Danio rerio: one gene and its partners. The protein of the gene in region 4 purifies or fractionates together with the protein of the main gene of each other region. This does not show direct contact. Links are inferred from orthologs where the notes say so. Each region holds a gene or a part of one and is shown on either strand. Other genes may lie near its edges. The genes, in order: fam98a, kif23, shcbp1 and racgap1.

Evidence for each region.
Region 1: the proteins of racgap1 (region 4) and fam98a purify together in Homo sapiens (co-immunoprecipitation; 3 studies listed by BioGRID and IntAct, with this or other methods). This does not show direct contact. The link is inferred for Danio rerio from reciprocal best matches to the Homo sapiens genes RACGAP1 and FAM98A.
Region 2: the proteins of racgap1 (region 4) and kif23 purify together in Homo sapiens (co-immunoprecipitation; 10 studies listed by BioGRID and IntAct, counting the BioPlex papers as one, with this or other methods). This does not show direct contact. The link is inferred for Danio rerio from reciprocal best matches to the Homo sapiens genes RACGAP1 and KIF23.
Region 3: the proteins of racgap1 (region 4) and shcbp1 purify together in Homo sapiens (affinity purification with mass spectrometry; 8 studies listed by BioGRID and IntAct, counting the BioPlex papers as one, with this or other methods). This does not show direct contact. The link is inferred for Danio rerio from reciprocal best matches to the Homo sapiens genes RACGAP1 and SHCBP1.

Annotation. Positions count from the first base shown.
Region 1 is NC_133192.1:24,538,132-24,543,092, forward strand, and holds the start of fam98a (protein FAM98A), read right to left. Parts: upstream 3,151-4,961; 5' UTR 3,088-3,150; coding exon 3,047-3,087; intron 2,315-3,046; coding exon 2,166-2,314; intron 2,044-2,165; coding exon 1,909-2,043; intron 1-1,908. Other genes in the region: uncharacterized protein si:ch211-195b21.5, read left to right, coding at 3,969-4,184, 4,679-4,812. UniProt on the Homo sapiens protein: Positively stimulates PRMT1-induced protein arginine methylation. Involved in skeletal homeostasis. Positively regulates lysosome peripheral distribution and ruffled border formation in osteoclasts.
Region 2 is NC_133193.1:21,843,552-21,848,720, reverse strand, and holds the start of kif23 (kinesin-like protein KIF23), read left to right. Parts: upstream 1-1,747; 5' UTR 1,748-1,777; coding exon 1,778-1,791; intron 1,792-2,285; coding exon 2,286-2,352; intron 2,353-2,427; coding exon 2,428-2,556; intron 2,557-5,096; coding exon 5,097-5,169.
Region 3 is NC_133182.1:46,427,753-46,432,872, reverse strand, and holds the start of shcbp1 (SHC SH2 domain-binding protein 1), read left to right. Parts: upstream 1-1,724; 5' UTR 1,725-1,854; coding exon 1,855-2,032; intron 2,033-2,521; coding exon 2,522-2,734; intron 2,735-2,819; coding exon 2,820-2,935; intron 2,936-3,046; coding exon 3,047-3,255; intron 3,256-5,120. UniProt on the Homo sapiens protein: May play a role in signaling pathways governing cellular proliferation, cell growth and differentiation. May be a component of a novel signaling pathway downstream of Shc. Acts as a positive regulator of FGF signaling in neural progenitor cells.
Region 4 is NC_133198.1:36,721,438-36,724,726, forward strand, and holds part of racgap1 (rac GTPase-activating protein 1), read right to left. Parts: intron 1,463-3,289; coding exon 1,264-1,462; intron 906-1,263; coding exon 800-905; intron 511-799; coding exon 378-510; intron 1-377.

The DNA of each region.
Region 1 (4,961 bases), on a different chromosome or scaffold from region 4:
GTGTCTCAAACAACATGCTGATATGAATGCAAGGTCAATACACACTTTCATGGTCTTATAATATGCATTTATTTTTAGCAAATTATCCCAGCGATATGATATGATTCATTCAGCGTTTCATTTGTTCCCAGAAAGTAGAGAAAATAACACTAACTTTCCCACATACTTCCAATAATATCCAGCAAAGCACAGCGTCTTCATGACTTGATCCAACTGGGATCTGTTTGTCTTCCTTTTCTTTGCTACTGTATTAATGGGCGGGACCTCAGGTTTAAATTTTCCCGGGTTTGCGCAAGCAACAATTGGGCGGGGCTTAGGTTATGAACCACAATGAGTTGACTCTTTTATAACCGAATCAATAGTTTTAAACACTGTCCACTTTCAGATTTAAGCCTCTGCTGGACAATTGACTTCACTGTTCACTTCACTGTTACAGACTACATGGAAAGTCGTTTTCAAAAACCCATAATAAGGGCTCTTTAAAGGGCCATGAAACCCCCTCGTTTCAGCAGGGTGTTTTCACACCTCTACTTTGGAAAAAGTCAGAAAAGTGGGCGTGTCCAGCTCTGTTTAGGGGGGAGTGTCGGAGGAACTAAAGTGGGAGGGTGTGGGAGTGTCTATTTGGGCGCGCGCGAGTTTCAGAGTCAAAATTCACACACACAGTAGAAAGTGATGGTGTTTAACCTACATGGACATCTGTAGTCGAATTATTTGCCAAATTATTAAATGGTGGACTTTAACTGCAGTTTGGCTCTTTCATTAAGGGAATTCATTCATGCCCCTCACGACAAATGAGATATTTGATTCGAGGAACTGCTCTAAGCGTGTATTTTTCATGCAATGTTTGATACCGCACGGCGAGTGAGAGAATAAAAACCCTCTGCATTTCCCGGAAACTTAGATGCACACGGCAGGTAGCGTCAGAAAGCCGCGTGTGTTATTCCGGTCACTAAATGCGGTAAAAACCCTACACGAGGTTAAAGTTTGGTTGTGGTGCTAACGTGTTTACACTCGGTGCAATAGTTTGTTAGATACGAACAAACTGAATAAACAAAGAGCACTGGTCGCTCACTTACCAAATCTGTAGAGACAGGACAATCACCAGCAACTACTAGAGCCGCGTCTTTATGAAGAGAATACTACAAGCGAATCCGGATCTCAGCGTTTGCAGATGAGAACAGCTCTCAGGTAAACAATAATCCTCCTTAGACACGTAAGTTATTGTTGTCGAGCGTCACGTACACTGTTAATCCACACGTGACTCTGAGCTCTCACAGAGAGAAATTGAAAACGAAACTTAACTGCAGCAAACTAGACGTGCAGAAGACGTGATAAGACACACTCTGGCACAGACGCCCAGTCTGCACGCTGGAATACAACGCTATTATGTCATGACCGTGACGCAGCTTAAAAAATTTGTTTCAAACCGGAAGTACGAATTTGCTTGAAATAATGCAAAAACAACCAATTTACACTTTTTAGTGAAATATAGGTGTCCTTATAGTGTTTTTAGCAGTGTGGGACACATATACAACTGTCAACAGCTCAAAAAATGTGTTTTGGTGTTTCGTGACCCTTTAAACTCTAGTCAAGTCCAGCATTCCAAGTCTATACAAAATGTAGCATTTTAACCAACAGTAGACCTACACATAAGACTTAAAATTATTGTTGTTGTTTTACCATGTTTGAGAAATAACAATCATAATAGCCTACTCATAATAACCTTAATTTTACATCTACAGAATCCTGAGAAAATTGTGATCTTGATTTTAAGCAAAAAAAAAAAGTGATTCTGATTTTAGCCAGAATTGTGCAGCCCTAGTTAAACATACCACATTTCACAAAATAATGTATCCCACGTTCTAAACAACCACATAAATGATCAGAACCTTTTTGCTGTTTACATACTTAACAGTAAGACGCAGTTGTTAGCATTCAGCAGACGTTTGGTGACCTCTCCCGTGGTCAGAGCAGGATACGGACAGCACAGCTCAGCTAAAAGACCACTCATCTCCAGCTGAAACCCCTCCGCCTCGCTTGGACCTGCAAACACCACACCCAAATCCATCAGGCAAATCCTACATATTTTAATTCTGCAGAAACACAACCTAAATGACTCTTCTTTGGTCTGATTGAGTATATGATGTGCGCAGTATCAAACTCACAGTTGGTCGCCTGCACATTCTCCTCTAGTTTGCAGTAGAGTTTCAGCTCAGACACAAGCCACGCACACAGTTTGGTGAACTCTGGAGATTCAGCACCACCAGTCACAGCTGTCTCAAGAGTTCCATCCTCTAGAAGTGGACCCTGGTATCTGCAAACACACATTCAGTTTGACTATATTTGCATTTTGAGAGGGTTTCCTGGATCATGCTGCACTTCTATTTGGGAGAATGTGAACTGACCAGTGTTGTGACACTGCAAAACGTAACTGCTTATCTCTGATATAGATTTCTAAAGCTGAATGTGTTAAGTCAATAATAGACATTATACAGCAATTAGGTACAGTCATCAAATAGCATTAAAAATACATTACATAAAACATCCAAAACCCACCCATGTTTGTCAGTTCTGCACTGATTCTAGAACAGTCTATGGACTTGATAATCTTGTAAACTCGTCTGACACAGCAGTGGTGACAGAGGTGTGTTCGTTTAGGCTATGATGATTCAGGCTATTTCTGGCGCTGGCGATATTTGAGATATTTAAGCACTGCTGGGCAGGGCTGCACGGCCCAAATCAGAACATTGATCACAGAAATCACGCTGTCAAATACATGTGCCAGTAGCCCAGGCTCTGAAATGACCTGACATACAACAGATCTCGACTACTGAGGGTTACAAAACGTTTGAAAATAACAGCTTAAAGCAGATGTAAACTACAGACGTTGAGAATAAGAGAAGCGGATCTGGGTGTCAGACCATGCAGAACACCCGGCGAACCAGAGCACGCGTGCTAATGATCACATTTGTGCCGTAAACCAAAATATAAACCTCTAATAAGACAACAGAAACACATATTATAAATGGGGACTTCATTCACATACCCCAGGTCCTCCAAAGAGTCAAGAATATCAGTAACTTCCATTGTGAATCACTCCCTCTAGCAGCCGTAACGACTGCAATGCTAGGTTGGCATAATGGGGCCCTCGTCTCAGCACTTTAAGCTGACCAAATATATGCCGGAATATATTTCTAAAACTCTAAACCATCTCTGTCTAAACAACTAAATCCATGTTTATGTTTCACGCGATATTCTAAAGATATAAAAAGACAAATAAACACAAATAACTATTTATTAAATCATGAAATAAAGCTGTATTTTAATATGACATTTTATAAATATCGGAAAAAACCCATATACACGAAATAATGCAGACTACAATGTTTCCATGTAAATCCAAAACCAGAAAAACCTGAACCAAATCGAAAAAAGTCAAGATAAATGTTTTTTAAAAAAAGGCCAAAATAAATAAATAAAAATTTGATAAAAACAAACATGAATTAGTAAATAAACAAACAAATAAATGATGTGCTATGAAATGTAACTTTAGGATAATGGTACCTTTTCGATGATCTTATATCTTGGGTAATTTAATTATTGGCATAAAAAATATTGAAAAATATTTGTTGTGTCTATGATGAAGTGTAGAAATTGTACAAACTCGAAATAAAATAAAGTGAAATATATAAAATTAATAGAATCTAAGCAAAAAAATCTAAATTATAAATTTAACAGTTTCAATTTTGTGTGAATTAGTCATTTTGCCTTTGTAAAGTGAGCAAAACAGTTTTGAACAGGCATTGTTTTGAATCGCCTATATAATGTGCGTTACTTCTCCAGTCCTGCAGACGGCGCTGTGACTGGACTCAGACTCATTTTAGACCCAAAAGAGCTCATAGCTCAGAGTGAATGGAAACAAACTCGTTACAACAACACATGTATCTATGAGATATTGATGTTTAAAAATGTACCGAGGTCCGTCGAACCCCGACTATCACCGGGCACCGGTACCTCCATCACGTTTCGGACACCCTATAGCACCTTTCGGACCTCCGCCGTTCTGTCCTCCTTTTGGGGTTCCTCCTCCGGGGCCTCGATACTGCAGTCCGCAGCCTATTCCCCCTCCGGGACGCCCGTACGGACCAGGCAATGAAAACTACAACAGAGATTCATTCTACGAGGTGCGAGTTTTTACTGTGCATTCATAAAAACAACCTGCACTTATTTGTCCCACAGATCGAGCTGATAGAAATACCGGATGTACGTTACGTCTTTTAAAATATGTTTTATTATATCTATGTCATGTATATTTATGGATTTAATGCAAGATATGCATTTTGATAGCGGTGCACGAAATAATAGTTCAATGATTTCGGTATTGTATGTGGAACTTGACATGCAATCAATGAGTGTGATGTCATGTGATTAAAAATGAGTTTAAGGATTGTTTAGCATCTCAGTAATTAATTTAACCTTATATGCTGATTTACTTTTGTTAAAAGTAATTTGGCGGTAACGTTATTTTTTTTTTTAGATTTAAAGAGAATAAAATGCATTGTGGTTTCATGGCTTTCTACTATAGGTCAATCAATGGCCTATGTTTTACTTGAATAACACATTCACAGGATTATTATTAATGACAGATATTTTTTATGTTGCTCTTTCTCCACTGCAGAACCGACCCTTTGGTGGTCTCACTACTGACCAGAGCGGTTCCACGATGATCACACCATCAAATCAGCTTTTGCTTGGTCAGTCCACACAAAACTGGTCAACTAAAAGTCTGGATGAGCAAAACCAAGAAGTCAGGTATGATTGGAGAAAAAAGTAGAGTCAAAGTTTGTTTAAAGTGAGATCAATTTGTGTCACACAACTGTATGTGGGTCAAGGGCAAAAGATCAAAAAGGATCAAATAAAAATAAATTATTAAAGCCGTATAAACTGTACTCTAATGTTGC
Region 2 (5,169 bases), on a different chromosome or scaffold from region 4:
CAAATCACATTCCTAAAATTTGCACTATTTCAAAGCACATTTCCATGTTCCAAGCACATGAATCACATTTATAATAATTTTTATCCAAGTGCCTATTTTAAATAAGGCTTTTTGAACACTGTATTTGTGAAGTCTTTGTCTTGTAAAGAAACTGTATTGAGAAGATATGCTATTTTTCTAAATAAAACTTTAAAGATAACTCTCCGTGTCCCGTGTCTCTCTCTCTCTCTATAGATGGATATCAAAGATGTAATTTTCCATTTTGGCATCTGAAATAAAAAAGTTTAACTGCAGAATTTATGATAAATATGTGTTGGCGCATGTAAAAATATGAATGCAACTAAGTTGAATATTATATAGTTACATATAACTTTGATGAAAAAAGTGATAAATTGTATGTTTCATCATTCTGTGTAACCCAAAATTTATGCAAGAAATACTTTAGTCATAAAACCATACATTTTATTATAAACTGAATTTATTAAAGAAAATGAAAGAATAAGTGATTAAACTAAGTGTGTTAAAATGTTCTTGCAGACATTTGAAGAAATGTGGCAAACCATAAAATCTTTTGTTTTTTAAAAATAATTTTTACGTTTATTTTAAAAGGATGATAAACAGTTATAAAGACAGTTATAATGTAAACTAAATCAAGACATCCCAATGTACAACTAAATGTATCAAAACGCATTTTATAAATATATATATATATATATATATATATATATATATATATATATATATATATATATATATAAATTATTTTTAAAAATATAATTCGGCCAACACAATTAGCCCCTTTTTTTCGCTATTTTTTTTTCGATAGTCTACAGAACAAACCATCACTATACAACTTGCCTAATTACCCTAACCTGCCTAGTTAACTTTATTAACCTAGTTAAGCCTTAAAATGTCCCTTTAAGCTGTATAGAAGTGTCTTAAAAAAGGTCTAGTAAAATATTATTCACTGTCATCATGGCAAAGATAAAATAAATCAGTTATTAGAAATACGTTATTAAAAGTATCATGTTTAGAAATGTGTTGAAAAAAAATCTCTGTTAAACAGAAATTGGGGAAAAACTAAAAATAAACGGGGGCTATTAATTCTGACTTCAAATGTGTGTGTGTAAATATATAATTTATTCCTCTGCTTATAATAATATTTAATATTAGGCTATTATAATATTCAAATATACATAAAAGTTTTAACACAAGCAGACAGACACGTATTTTTCGATTTTTGCGTTTTGTTTGTTTTTCTTTATTTTTTATTAATGCTTAAAGAACAAAGTACACAACAATACAAATACAAAAAGAAAGAAAAGAGAGCATCAGGGGTGTACAAAATACAAACTAACGTTATAAGACAAACAAATATATTTGTAAGTATGCATTCGGGTAAAGGGAAATGTGAGATCACAGGATCTTGAAGGTTTCATGTAAAACAATGCTTTTTAAATTGATATTACTTTTTCATTCAGTAATTAAAAATCGTATACTCCTTAAGAATATTTTAAATCTTCTTTGCATTTTTTATTAACAGAGTTCATTGTTTTCCTTTATGTAAGCTCCTGGCTTAAACCGGAATTTGTCAAGCGCCCATTAGGCGGGGCTTAAGGCGGGACATCCGCTCTTCTGAGGAGTGTTTGAGCTCGCTGATTGGTCACATTTGAAAAATCTGTGTCTGATGCGGACGAGGGAACGTTTGAAACTTCGGATTTGTATACGGTCAACAAGAAGGTAACAGCGTCGTGGAATTAAACTAAAACATCTCAGCATGATTAGGCAAGCGTAAGTATTTTATGCCGACTTGTGTTTTAGTTGTGCTAAATAGATAACCAGTAATTCAAAGTTCGTTTAGTCAGTCTGTTGTTTCATACGGACGTTGAGTGGTGTTCAGCAGGCATTTGTTAACGTTAGCCATCTAGTGTAACTCACCGCCTGTTGCGTTTACTTTAGCGTTAATCGTTTAGAATTAATCCACCGTCTCTGCCTAAGAAGTTTTACTTTATTTCTCTACTTTACTATTTGTTTTAGAAGTTTAATAATTTGTTATCTACATTATTATCGATAAACGTCAAACACTATATTTAGTTTCAAATTCCAGATTTAGTTTAACGTTAGATTAAAATTGTATAAGTAATCTACTGATTGTCTCTTTTATAGTGTAACTCTAAAACGTCATTTAACGTTATATTAAGTTAGGACTCTTCATATTTAGTTCGTCTATTTTTATTTTAAGTCGTGTTTACTAACTTGTATGTTGTCTGAATTTATTGTTAAAGGAAGGGCAAGACCCCCCGCCGCCCTCCTCCAAAAAAACCTTCAAACAACCAAAAGGACCCTGTTGGAGTATGTTGTAACTTGTCCTCACATTTAGTTAATCGAAATTGTGATAAATATATTAATTTGAGATCTCTTTGACAGGTGTATTGTCGAGTTCGGCCACTGGGTGCTGAAGATGAGGAATGTTGCATTGAGGTTATAAGTAACACCACCATTCAGTTACATGCTCCTGATGGACTCAAAGCCAACAGGAATGGGGAATTCAAAGAGGTTAGTGGACGTGTGCCAACCGTTTACTCATAAGAAGTCATTGAGGTAAAGTTGGTTTTATATTCGCTCATTTGTTCAGTGACAACTTGTGACATGCTCCCTATAGTGTTTACCTTGGAACTTTAAATATTCGGTCTGAAACCACATTTACCTATGACTTCAAAACAACAATAGCAATATTTACTTGACTGTGAACAGTGCTGTACTTTGATAGTCATTGGCTGCTAACATGATTTCTCTATTTAGAATTTGTAAACACTTTTGTGAAAGTATATTATAAAGGAGGAAGTCAGAATGTGCCAATATAAAACCAACTTTACCTCTATTTAAGAAGCCTATTTTTTTGCATTTCGTGAGGAATTGAAGAGTTAATTTATCTTGCACTCATTTACTCACTCTCGTGTCATTCCAAACCCAGAACACTTTTGTTCATCCTGAAAACATAAATGTAGATATTTTATAATAAAAAAGTGAAGTATTTCTACTCCACTGTTAATGTATTCATGCAAAACTGCTGCTGAAATGTGTCCATATGAACTGAGCAATCTGAAGAGATTAAATTGTACTAGAGCGCGGTATAAAATTTCAGCATTGATATCACAATGCGCAGATTTGAAATAATCGCGTTGCATGATCAACAATGTTGAGTCTAGATTATAATTAACCAGGAGCTACAGTTCAGAATGTGAGATTTGTGGATTTATCACTGTAATGTTTAAATATAATAAAGTGAATGTTTATCAGTTTTTTTTTCTGCGACTGTCTGATCATTTCAGGAGAGTTAAAAGCAATCAGGCACAATAAATTATAATGTTTGGAGGTTAAATAAAGATTAATTAAATTGAATTATGTATACGATCGTATTTAGACTATATAGTGTTTTTTTTTATATTTAATTATTTAATTTGTGTCCCTGACTACAGTTAGACTCCCTTAGAAATATCATAAATCACATTTTATTTTACTTATCTATGCTTTTTTTTTAAACATATTATGCAGATGTACTCCCTGCAAAATTATTACAATCTTAAAAAATATGAATTATTATTATTATTTCTTCAACCAAGCTGTTCAAGGCATCTTGTGAATTTTTATTCATATCACAATGTATTTTTCAAAATCGTGCAGCCCTAAATTGTATTTTATTATATTGTATTGAATTTTTGGTCATGAACTGCAGCTTGTACAATATCTGTTTGACGAGATTTGTGGTCTGAAGATAATTCATTTTCAGTAAAAATCTTTGCAACACAAGGGATAGTTTTTGCAGTAGTTAAAGGTGCAGTAGGTGATTGTCTTCAGAAACATTTTTTGTTGTGCTGGTTAAAAGTCTCTTTGCATTCCAATAGTAATGATTAAAGTAAATGATCTAAGTGTATTTTTATACTCTGAGTGAGGCATAAGACGAAAAAATGTTCATCCATTTAAAATTCATTGGCCCCACAATTCCCATAATTCTAATAAGTAGCCCAAACAGTCTGTCAGCAAATGTACATTTGAACATCTGCACACCAATTCACGCAGATCTGCCATTTACGCGTGAGTGCGCGCCACATTCATTACATGCACAGAAGAGAGAACGATTTTTTTATTTATTTTTTAAACAAATGCTGAATCAAAACTTTTTAAAATCCTGAATCAATATTGGAATTACTTTTGCACGTTGGAGGAAGGATGATGCCTTTGCTGAAGTATTTATATTAGACAGGTGATGTTATGTTTTAAAAGTATTTTAGTCACTCAAAGCTGATGTTGACTGTGTTGTTTTTTGAATCAGTTATATGCACAGGAGTGTTGTTTAGTCACATCAATCTTTTGGCGAGACATTTCAGTGGCTGTTCAATTTCATAAGAGACCTTTTACAGCATTGACAATGTTTATTTAGTTTAACAACAACTAAATGGAACTATTCTGCCTAGCCTGTTTACTGTGGGGAAATTGGTTTTATATTCACATTGGTTCATTTTTGGTCCCTATATTGTTTACCATGCTACTTTGAATATTCGGTCTGAAATGGCATGCAAGAATGGCTTTGTAATGTGTAAGTCCTGCACCCTGCCGGCCAACCACTAATCATACTGTAGTCGCTTTAGGGCAAAGCGTGTGAGAGAGACCAGAGATCTTTCCTTGCATGATGCATGAAATATTGCACATGACAGGTTTTGCTTGCTACACAACTGAAAATGTGCTAGATATAATACAGTTTTTCATTCAGAATTGTAGTATTATAAAGTACTATAATGTTTTCTAACTAGTAAATGACAAGATCTAGTGGATTGTCTACTGTTATCTTTAATGTACGCGTTTGTGATTTCAGGAGGCAGGATAGGGAATGTATTTCAAAGATATTATGCTAACCGGTTAGCAGATTGGCAGATCACCTACTGCACCTTTAACCATTTATTCTCATTATCGTGAATCATTCTTATAAATACCAGTAAAAGCACTGTAAATATTCATACAACATGCAGATTATGTGTCTTGTTTATTCAATCAGATTTGTCTTATCTATTTTTTATCCTCAACTAACTCATTTTCAGACACAATATTCCTTCAAAAAAGTGTTTGGAATTAAAACGACACAGAGGGAATTATTTGAAGATGTTGCTAAAC
Region 3 (5,120 bases), on a different chromosome or scaffold from region 4:
TGTGCATACATATATAAAGGAGGAAGATGAGCAACAGAGACAGAACCCTCTTGTCCTGCTGCTTGTGGATGAACTAAACTGCTCTCAGGCGTTCGTTGTTGTGGGAGAAGTGGCACTAAACTCATAGATTTAAATTAGACATTGCCAATGTACTAAAAGCTACTACTATAATAATAATAATAAAATAATAATAATTATTATCATTATTTACTATTATATAGTGGTTGAGCCAACTTTTGGCAAAAAAAGCCAACAAATTGGTTATTTTTGTAACCCAAATTGTTGGGTTAACCTTAACAACCCAATGGGACATACGTGTTTTATATCCAAGGGACATATATGTGTTATACATGAGTATATATGTTTCTGGCATACAGTTGAATTCAGAATTATTCAAAATTATATATATATATATTTTTTTTATATTTCCCAAATGATGTTTAACAGAGCAAGGACATTTTCACAGTATGTCTGATAATATTTTTTTTCTTCTGGAGAAACTCTTATTTGTTTTATTTTGTCTAGCTATTTTTGAATTTATTAATTTTTTTTTACTAAATAAAATTTTAAACACCATTTTAAGGACAAATTTTAAGCAATTTTTTTTTCGATTGTCTACACTAACAAACCATCGTTATACAATAACTTTCCTAATTACCCTAACCTGCCAAGTTAACCTAATTAACCTAGTCATGCCTTTAGTTGTCACTTTAAGCATAGAAGTGTCTTGAAAAATATCTTGTCAAATATTATTTACTGTCATCATGACAAAGATAAAATAAATCAGTTATTAGAAATAAGTTATTAAAACTATTATGTTTAGAAATGTGTTGAAAAAAAAATCTGCTCTCCGTTAAACAGAAATTGGAAAGAAAAAAAATGAAAAGGGGGGCTAATAATACAGGGGGGCTAATAATTCTGACCTCAACTGCATGTGGAGAAATATGTTTCTGATATATATGTGGAGATTTAGCTTTCTGACATATATAGAACATATACGTTTCTGACATATCTGGACATATCCTGAAATATAAGGGACATGGAATTCAGACATTTTTGGGACTATTGTTTCTGACACGGACATATTTGTTTCTGGCATGTATGAGGACATATGTGTTTCAGACATATATGGGACATGTTTTTCTTGGCATACATGTGGGCTTATATGTTTCTGACACAATTTGGGACATTTAAATATGTGGAAATATATCTTTCTGATATGGGACATATTTGATTCTGCCATATATCTGGACATGTATGATTATGAAACATAAAGGACATGTTATGATTCAGACATTTTTGGGACTCGTTTGTAATTGTTTATTTAACTACTGAGTACTATTTATTTATTACATAGATGGTTGGGTAGAATGTGAGATAGCCTATGTTTAGGGTTACGTATTTATGCATAATTTATAGTAATTACAAGAGTATGGAACTTGTCTAATTACGTAATTAAAAGTGTTACAAAATATTTAACATGTTGAATATAAATGTTTATATTGTCAATGTCTATATTGTAAATACTTCATATAATTTATTTAACCTACTTTTGTACCGAAACAAAATGTTCAAGTTTAAAAGAACAAATAGCCTACATGATGACCTGTTCATAACGGGAGCTATAATAACTAAATAAACTATAAACTGCGCTTTGCCCCTTTAAGAGTGCGTCAGTTTGCCCCGCCCCGCCAGTTTATTGGGCGCTCCGCCTGGGCAGCGTTTGAAAATACAAGTGAAGGGAGGAGACAGACAAGACAGGCCAACAGAAACTGTTAAGCGAGTTATTAAGCGACATTTTAACAAACTTTAAACTTACTTTACTGTAATATATTGACATTTTAAGCTTCAGTGATGTCCGGGGAAGTTGAGTGTCCAAAGCCAGAGGAGGTAAGGGACTGCGAGACTGAAAACGGCGTTGAAATCATCATCAAACCAACCAGCGGAGATCCACAAAATAATAACGACCAGAATGTAAATCAGCAGACCATCTTTAATGACATCAGACAAAACCACAGTCGGGTTTCAAAAGGTTTGTGATATACACGCTTTGTAAATATTGTCGTTTGATTTGGTATGTTTTCTGTCAGGTTAAAATGTCAATGACTTAAATTTAAACATAGAGGTAAAATTGGCTTTATTTTTGTATTTTCAGACATTCTCCTTAATAATATAATTTCAGAAAAATATTCTTCGCAAATTCTAAATAGGGAACTCATATTAGCAGCCAGTGACTATCAGTACAACACTGCTCACAGTGAATTGGATCATGTTAATGTTGTTTAGAAGTCATACTTGCATGCTAATTCCGATCGAATATTCAACGTAACATTGTAAACAAAATATAGAGACTGCTAAATCAACGAATGTGCGAATTTGAAACCAACTTTACCTCTATAATTTAGACTTAATCTTTAGCCACACTTTTGACTTTTACATGTTTGTTTTTTTTGCACGTAGTAGGACGCAGTTTGTGTAAGATATGCCACTTTATTGATCCACCAATGTACATTGTTTTCAGAGTTATTTCAGGCAGTAGGTGAGGAGGATGAGAATGATGATGATGATGATGATGATGATGACAGTGGCACACATTATCTAAATGGTGACGATAGACCCTGCACTCATCTACAGCGAGCAGAGAGACCAGGAAATGGAGGACTGCCGGACACCTTTCAAACAGACAATCTTCTGTACTATGAAAGATTCAAGGCCTATCAAGATTACATGCTTGGTAACACTTCAGACACTTTTGATAGACATTCATAACAATAAATGACTTAAGAAGAGTATATTTATGAACCTAAAATGTCTGACAGGTGACAGTAAACCATCTGAAGTACAGTCTTTCACTGCTGAATACTTGGAGAAGATCGTGGAGCCATGTGATTGGCAAGGCATATGGCACACCGATGTATTTGATGTGCTGGTTGAAGTAAGCATATGAAATTTGTTTAATTAGTTTTATTTTTTTTACAATTAAAACATTGAAGCATCTACACAGTGGAATGTGGAGAAAGCTGAGTAATGTGTGTTGTTGTTGTAGGTTGTTGACGTTGATTGTAAAGCGCTGAAGGCAAAAGTAGAGCTGGTACTGCCGATGGCGTGTGAGACCAGAGGCTGTGATCTTACTGAAGAATCCATGAAGGCTCTGCTGGAGGCTACACTTCATAAAGTACCTCTTATGGAGCTTTCGGTTGTCTATGATGAGTCTGGAGACTTTGATCAGACTGCTTTGGCCCTGGAACACCTTAGGTAATCCAACTTTTTTTTTTTTTTTTTTAAGGTGAATTTTTAATTTTTTTGACCAGTCTTACTGTTTACTTTATATTGACAGACCAGTATACATGATACGAGAATGAGCAATACCTAAAAATAGTAATTAAAAATGTTTAATGTATGTAATAATTATGGTTTGGTACTATTTCAGATGTCACGATTTTTTATCTGTTGGTTGAAATGAATTCTTGATTCAGTTTATGATCTTTGACTGACTTTAATTTTTGTGCATTAAGCATGAATAGCTATTGCTCTTCTAAAAAAACTAAATTAAACAAAACAGTGAACATAAGTTTACAAATGGTAAAAAAGAAATTAAGATAATTTAACCTTTATAAAACTGTAACATTATAAAAATATAATAAACTTTATTTCAAGTACATATATGTGACTTATATATTCTTAATATTTGGTACATTTCAGGCATTTCCCCATTTATTTTCCTTTGTTAATCACTGACAGAGTTGACAAACACATTGCAGTAACACAATAACAAATAATAAAAAAGATTTTTCCTTTAGCTTAAGATGCTAACCTCAAACCAGAATAATACAAAAAACAGATGTTTCTCCTACATTTTTATTTGGCTTATTATAGTAAAGATGAAAATTAGACGTACAAACTATATTTATGGATGTATTGAACTAATTTGTATTATTCTTTAAAACTGTTTCATTAATATTTTGTTTTATATTTGGAACAATAAAATAAGAGATTTTGTCTCAGGAACATGAAATGCATCCTTAATTCTAGAGTCGATATATTCCTAAAAGCTGGAACGATTATGTAAAAGCAAAGCGTGCAGGACTGAAAAAATGGCACACCTCAGTGCACACATCTCTAATACTGCTTTAGAGTGGTATTTGAGGCTAAGCATCTACCCATCTATAATCACATTTTAAGAACTTGTGTTATCAAACTGTCAAGGTAATTTTCCATTTGCAGTAAGTTAATCTATTTGGGGATCACATCAAATTTATGTAAAACATAAGTGTTGCACATTTTAATGGAGCAAAGATGTTTGTGTATTTTGTAAAACAGTTGCACCTTCTTAACTTTACAAGCATCTAAATAAAATATTCAAATAGAACCTTTTATCAATGTTTACATTTTAAATAAGTGGCAAGAGGAATGGGATGCATTGAGAAATAATAAATTGTATGAAATACAACCTGAAATCTCAAACAGAGTTTCAAGACATTTTAATACTAGATTTGATTAAGGGATTTTTACCAGATATCATATTGGATATACAAGCTTAACCCATGCCTTTTGGCTCAGGTGAAGACCCCACTCAATGTTGGTACTGCAATGTTGGTAACTCCCCTTTCTGTAAAACACATTTTATTAGACTGTCCAGCTTTTAATGATTCCAGAAGTTTTTTTTTTTTAATGAATTAATTATCTTAAGGACATCTTTAACGAAGTGACACCCTACATTTTTATTTTTATCATGTATTAACACGAAAAAAAAAAAAACTTTAATTTATGTATTCATTTGTTTGTTGTTTTAATTGTATATTTCTATTGAAATGGTCCTGCCATAAAAATAGCCTTGTTTGCTGACTTGACATTAAATAAAACAAATACATTACATTTCACTCAACATAGACTATCAAAAATAAGTTTAATTGTCAATGTAAAGAGCAACGCGCATTACATGTACCAAATTTTATTAAAATATATAAGATTTTAAAATGTTTAATCAAATAAACGTGGTACATTTTTAATACATGTTCATTGTTGTTTATTTGTGCATAATACCTTAACTAATGTACTTGTATATTTTTTTATATTTTATGTAGCCAAAAGCAGATTTTAAATCTCTAAAGGAATAAAAA
Region 4 (3,289 bases):
AGCCCCTCCATCACGCTCAAGATCACTTTGGTAAGTGTAATCACTGTGATGAAATTGCTTATGAGCATGCTCAAAAGGAAGTGCATGTCCAATACAATTTCAACCATAATATGCTTTGGTACTATGCAGTTCAGTATGAATACCTTGTTTTAATGGTCATGAGTGAAGTTAGCAGGTAGAGTGTAGGTAGTCTTTGTAGCTTTTCAAATGTATTCCATTACACAAGCATCTACACTAGCAAATCAATGAACTTTAGCAAAGCTCTGAAAGTGGTTTAAATCTAACAAGCTCAAAATATTTTAGATCTCATTTCATATGTATTTTGTAGTGTTCGATTGTGACCGGCTGTAAATAGGAAACTATCCATGAACACGTACCCTCGGTTGTCGTTTTGTGTCCTGTAGGATGGTCATTGGTTCTGGGTTAGAAACGGCATGGCCTACAATTGTGGGTCCAAATACACGAGCCAGATTGGTGATGTCCATCTTTGTAGCGGGGCTTTGGGCCACCCTGATGATGAAAGAAAGAAAAAGAAAAAGTAAGAACAGTAATTGCTTTTTGAGAGGACTGTTTTCCCTAAATTAAGCAGTAATATTAGTTACTAAACTGAAAAAAATTAGGAAAAAAACATCTCCAGCATGTTAAAAGGGCCTATTAGTTAAACTGCTACCACAACTGCTTTAAACCTTTAATATTTCACAAATACATTTATCATCTCGAAAGAAACGTTTGAATTTCACAACTAATTAGCATTAAAATAAAAAGCAGAGAGTAAAATCAGAGAATGTTTGCTATTTACCTTTGTAGATGGATGATGAGGAAGGCCAGAGTGTCTCTGTGGGGCTGTGGAAGATCACTGATGTTCTGATACATCAAGGCAATGCTGTTGTCATCATCTGACAGCTCTACAAAAATAAATAGACAAAATAAATAAATATACTGAAATTCACACACCTATCTTATCACCCCCAGGTGTACTACAATTCAAACATTTAGGACAATAAAAAACACTTTTATCCAACAAAAACAGTCAGCAAAGCACATTTATGGTACAAAATATTACATCTCAAAAGATATTAGAGTGATTCATGAAGACTGGAGAAATGCTAGTCAAAACAGGAGTAAATTGCATACGCTAATTTTATATTTCATAGAATAAACTTTTATTAAAACTGACAATATTTTTACTGCAGTTTTGATCCAATAAACACTTTCAGAAAGCCCAAACTGTTAAAAAGCAGTGTACATTTATACATCACATACCTGCAGCATCCATGAATGCCCGATTGAGGCGGAAGGTTAGCAGGGGCTCTTTGAGGTTCCTTAGGAAGTCCTTGAGGAGGCCAGTGATAGCATGGATGTCTTCCACCTTGCTGAGCAGGGGAACAGTCTTCCCACGCAGGAACTTTTCTTTCAGGTCCTTGACCACTCGATCAGAGCCAGATACCCGGTACAAACCAGTCTGACAAAGCAATATGTGCGTATTATAGGTAGTGCTCAAGAGTTAGGGTATGTTTACAACATAACAAGTTACATGTTTACACACTGTTTTTAAAATGATTTATGTTTACATAAAGGAAAATGGCCAAAAACATTACATTACGAAAGCCAGGCCAAGATTTGGCACAGTCATCTTGTTAGTAAACAGTGTCTGTTGGCGGCAGTGCATGTAAAATCTGCTGTGTGTATGACGTGTCTTTGCTATTGGTTCACATTTTACTGATGAAGTGATAGCAAACACTTCAACAACAACAACAATACTGTATTCTGACATTGTTTTGCGTTTGATCATGACCACCTTTAACCGGGTATCTGAGCTTTCTAAGAGTTTTATTTAAAGGTGCAGTAGGTGATTGTCTTCAGAAACATTTTTTTGTTGTACTGGTTGAAACTCTCTTCACTGTCCAATAGTAATGATAAAAACTAAATGATCTAAATGCTAAATTATATGTATTTATATATTCTGGATGAGACATAAAACTCTAAAATATAAATAAATAAATAAAATATAAATAAGATATTTTCGGGCCGACATCTCCCATAATTCAGCTCAAACTTTTTTGTCAACAAATGCAGATTTGGGCTTTTGTGCATCTCTGTTCACGCAAATCCAACATTCGCGCATGCCCACCTGCGTGAGGGCCACGCTTTCATGTGCACACGAGACAATTAGATATGCGACACGTTAAATGCGACTGTGAGTGCCTGCTGACATCTCGAGCTACGTTTCCACCCACCTATTTTTATACACATTTTGGATATGCACATAAAAATATGGTTGATGGATGCCAAGATGTGCATACATTTACAAAATGCACATAAAAATCATGTGCACATAACAGAGTAGGATAAACTGGCTAATATATAAGAAAAGATGCGCATTAAAAAAGGTCATGTGGTTTTGTTATAAGAGATTATGTGATAAAAATACGAATAGAAAATACAAATAAGTGCACGAATAGACAAACCAGCAGGCTGACCACATTGAAAAACATCTGAAATGTTGCTCTGGGCATTCTAAAATGCCTTAACTATTTCAGTATTAGTGTTATTTTATTATTAATGAACTTCAGAATCAAGAGCGTCTGTGCTCAGTGTCTTGCACCTTCAAACACCACGTGTGTTCACTGCTTGTCTGCAATGTCTTCTGAGGCGCATTTATTAAATGAAGAAAAGATTCACGCAGCATCTCCTATCGCAGCAAATTCTGTTTTCTGTGTTGATGATTTGGCTGTGACTCATTGGATGGAAACGCTGCTTTATTCGCACGTCTGTTTGCAATAATCTAGCTTTGCGCATACATTTTATTCGCATTTTTGGATGGACACATAGCTAATGACAACACAGCTGGACACACTTTAGCTGTTATAGAGCAAAACTCACAGGAACTGTTTATGCGAGCAAAATCTCAGCGAACGTTAAGCATCTAAACAAAATCCCTGTAAGCGAGCATTTTATTGGGTATCGCCAAAGATACGCATGTTGTGATGCATGATGATAAACAAAGAGAGTTAAGTAGATTTCAAAATGAAAACAAAAACTTCTTTATGGTGTCGGTTCGATTGTCCTTTTAGGACCTTTGAAATGCAGATTTAATCAATTTTAAGGCTAATTAAGGCCTTATTTTTATACTATAGAATTTAAGACTTTAAGGATCCGAGGACACCCGGTTTAATCTACACCTCCTTAAAAATGTATTATGCATGCGCAAATGACATTTGAGTTTTCATATTATCTTCAAAAAATTCCCCTTTATAACCTGTTTTAGATTTTGTTTTTAACCCCGAAA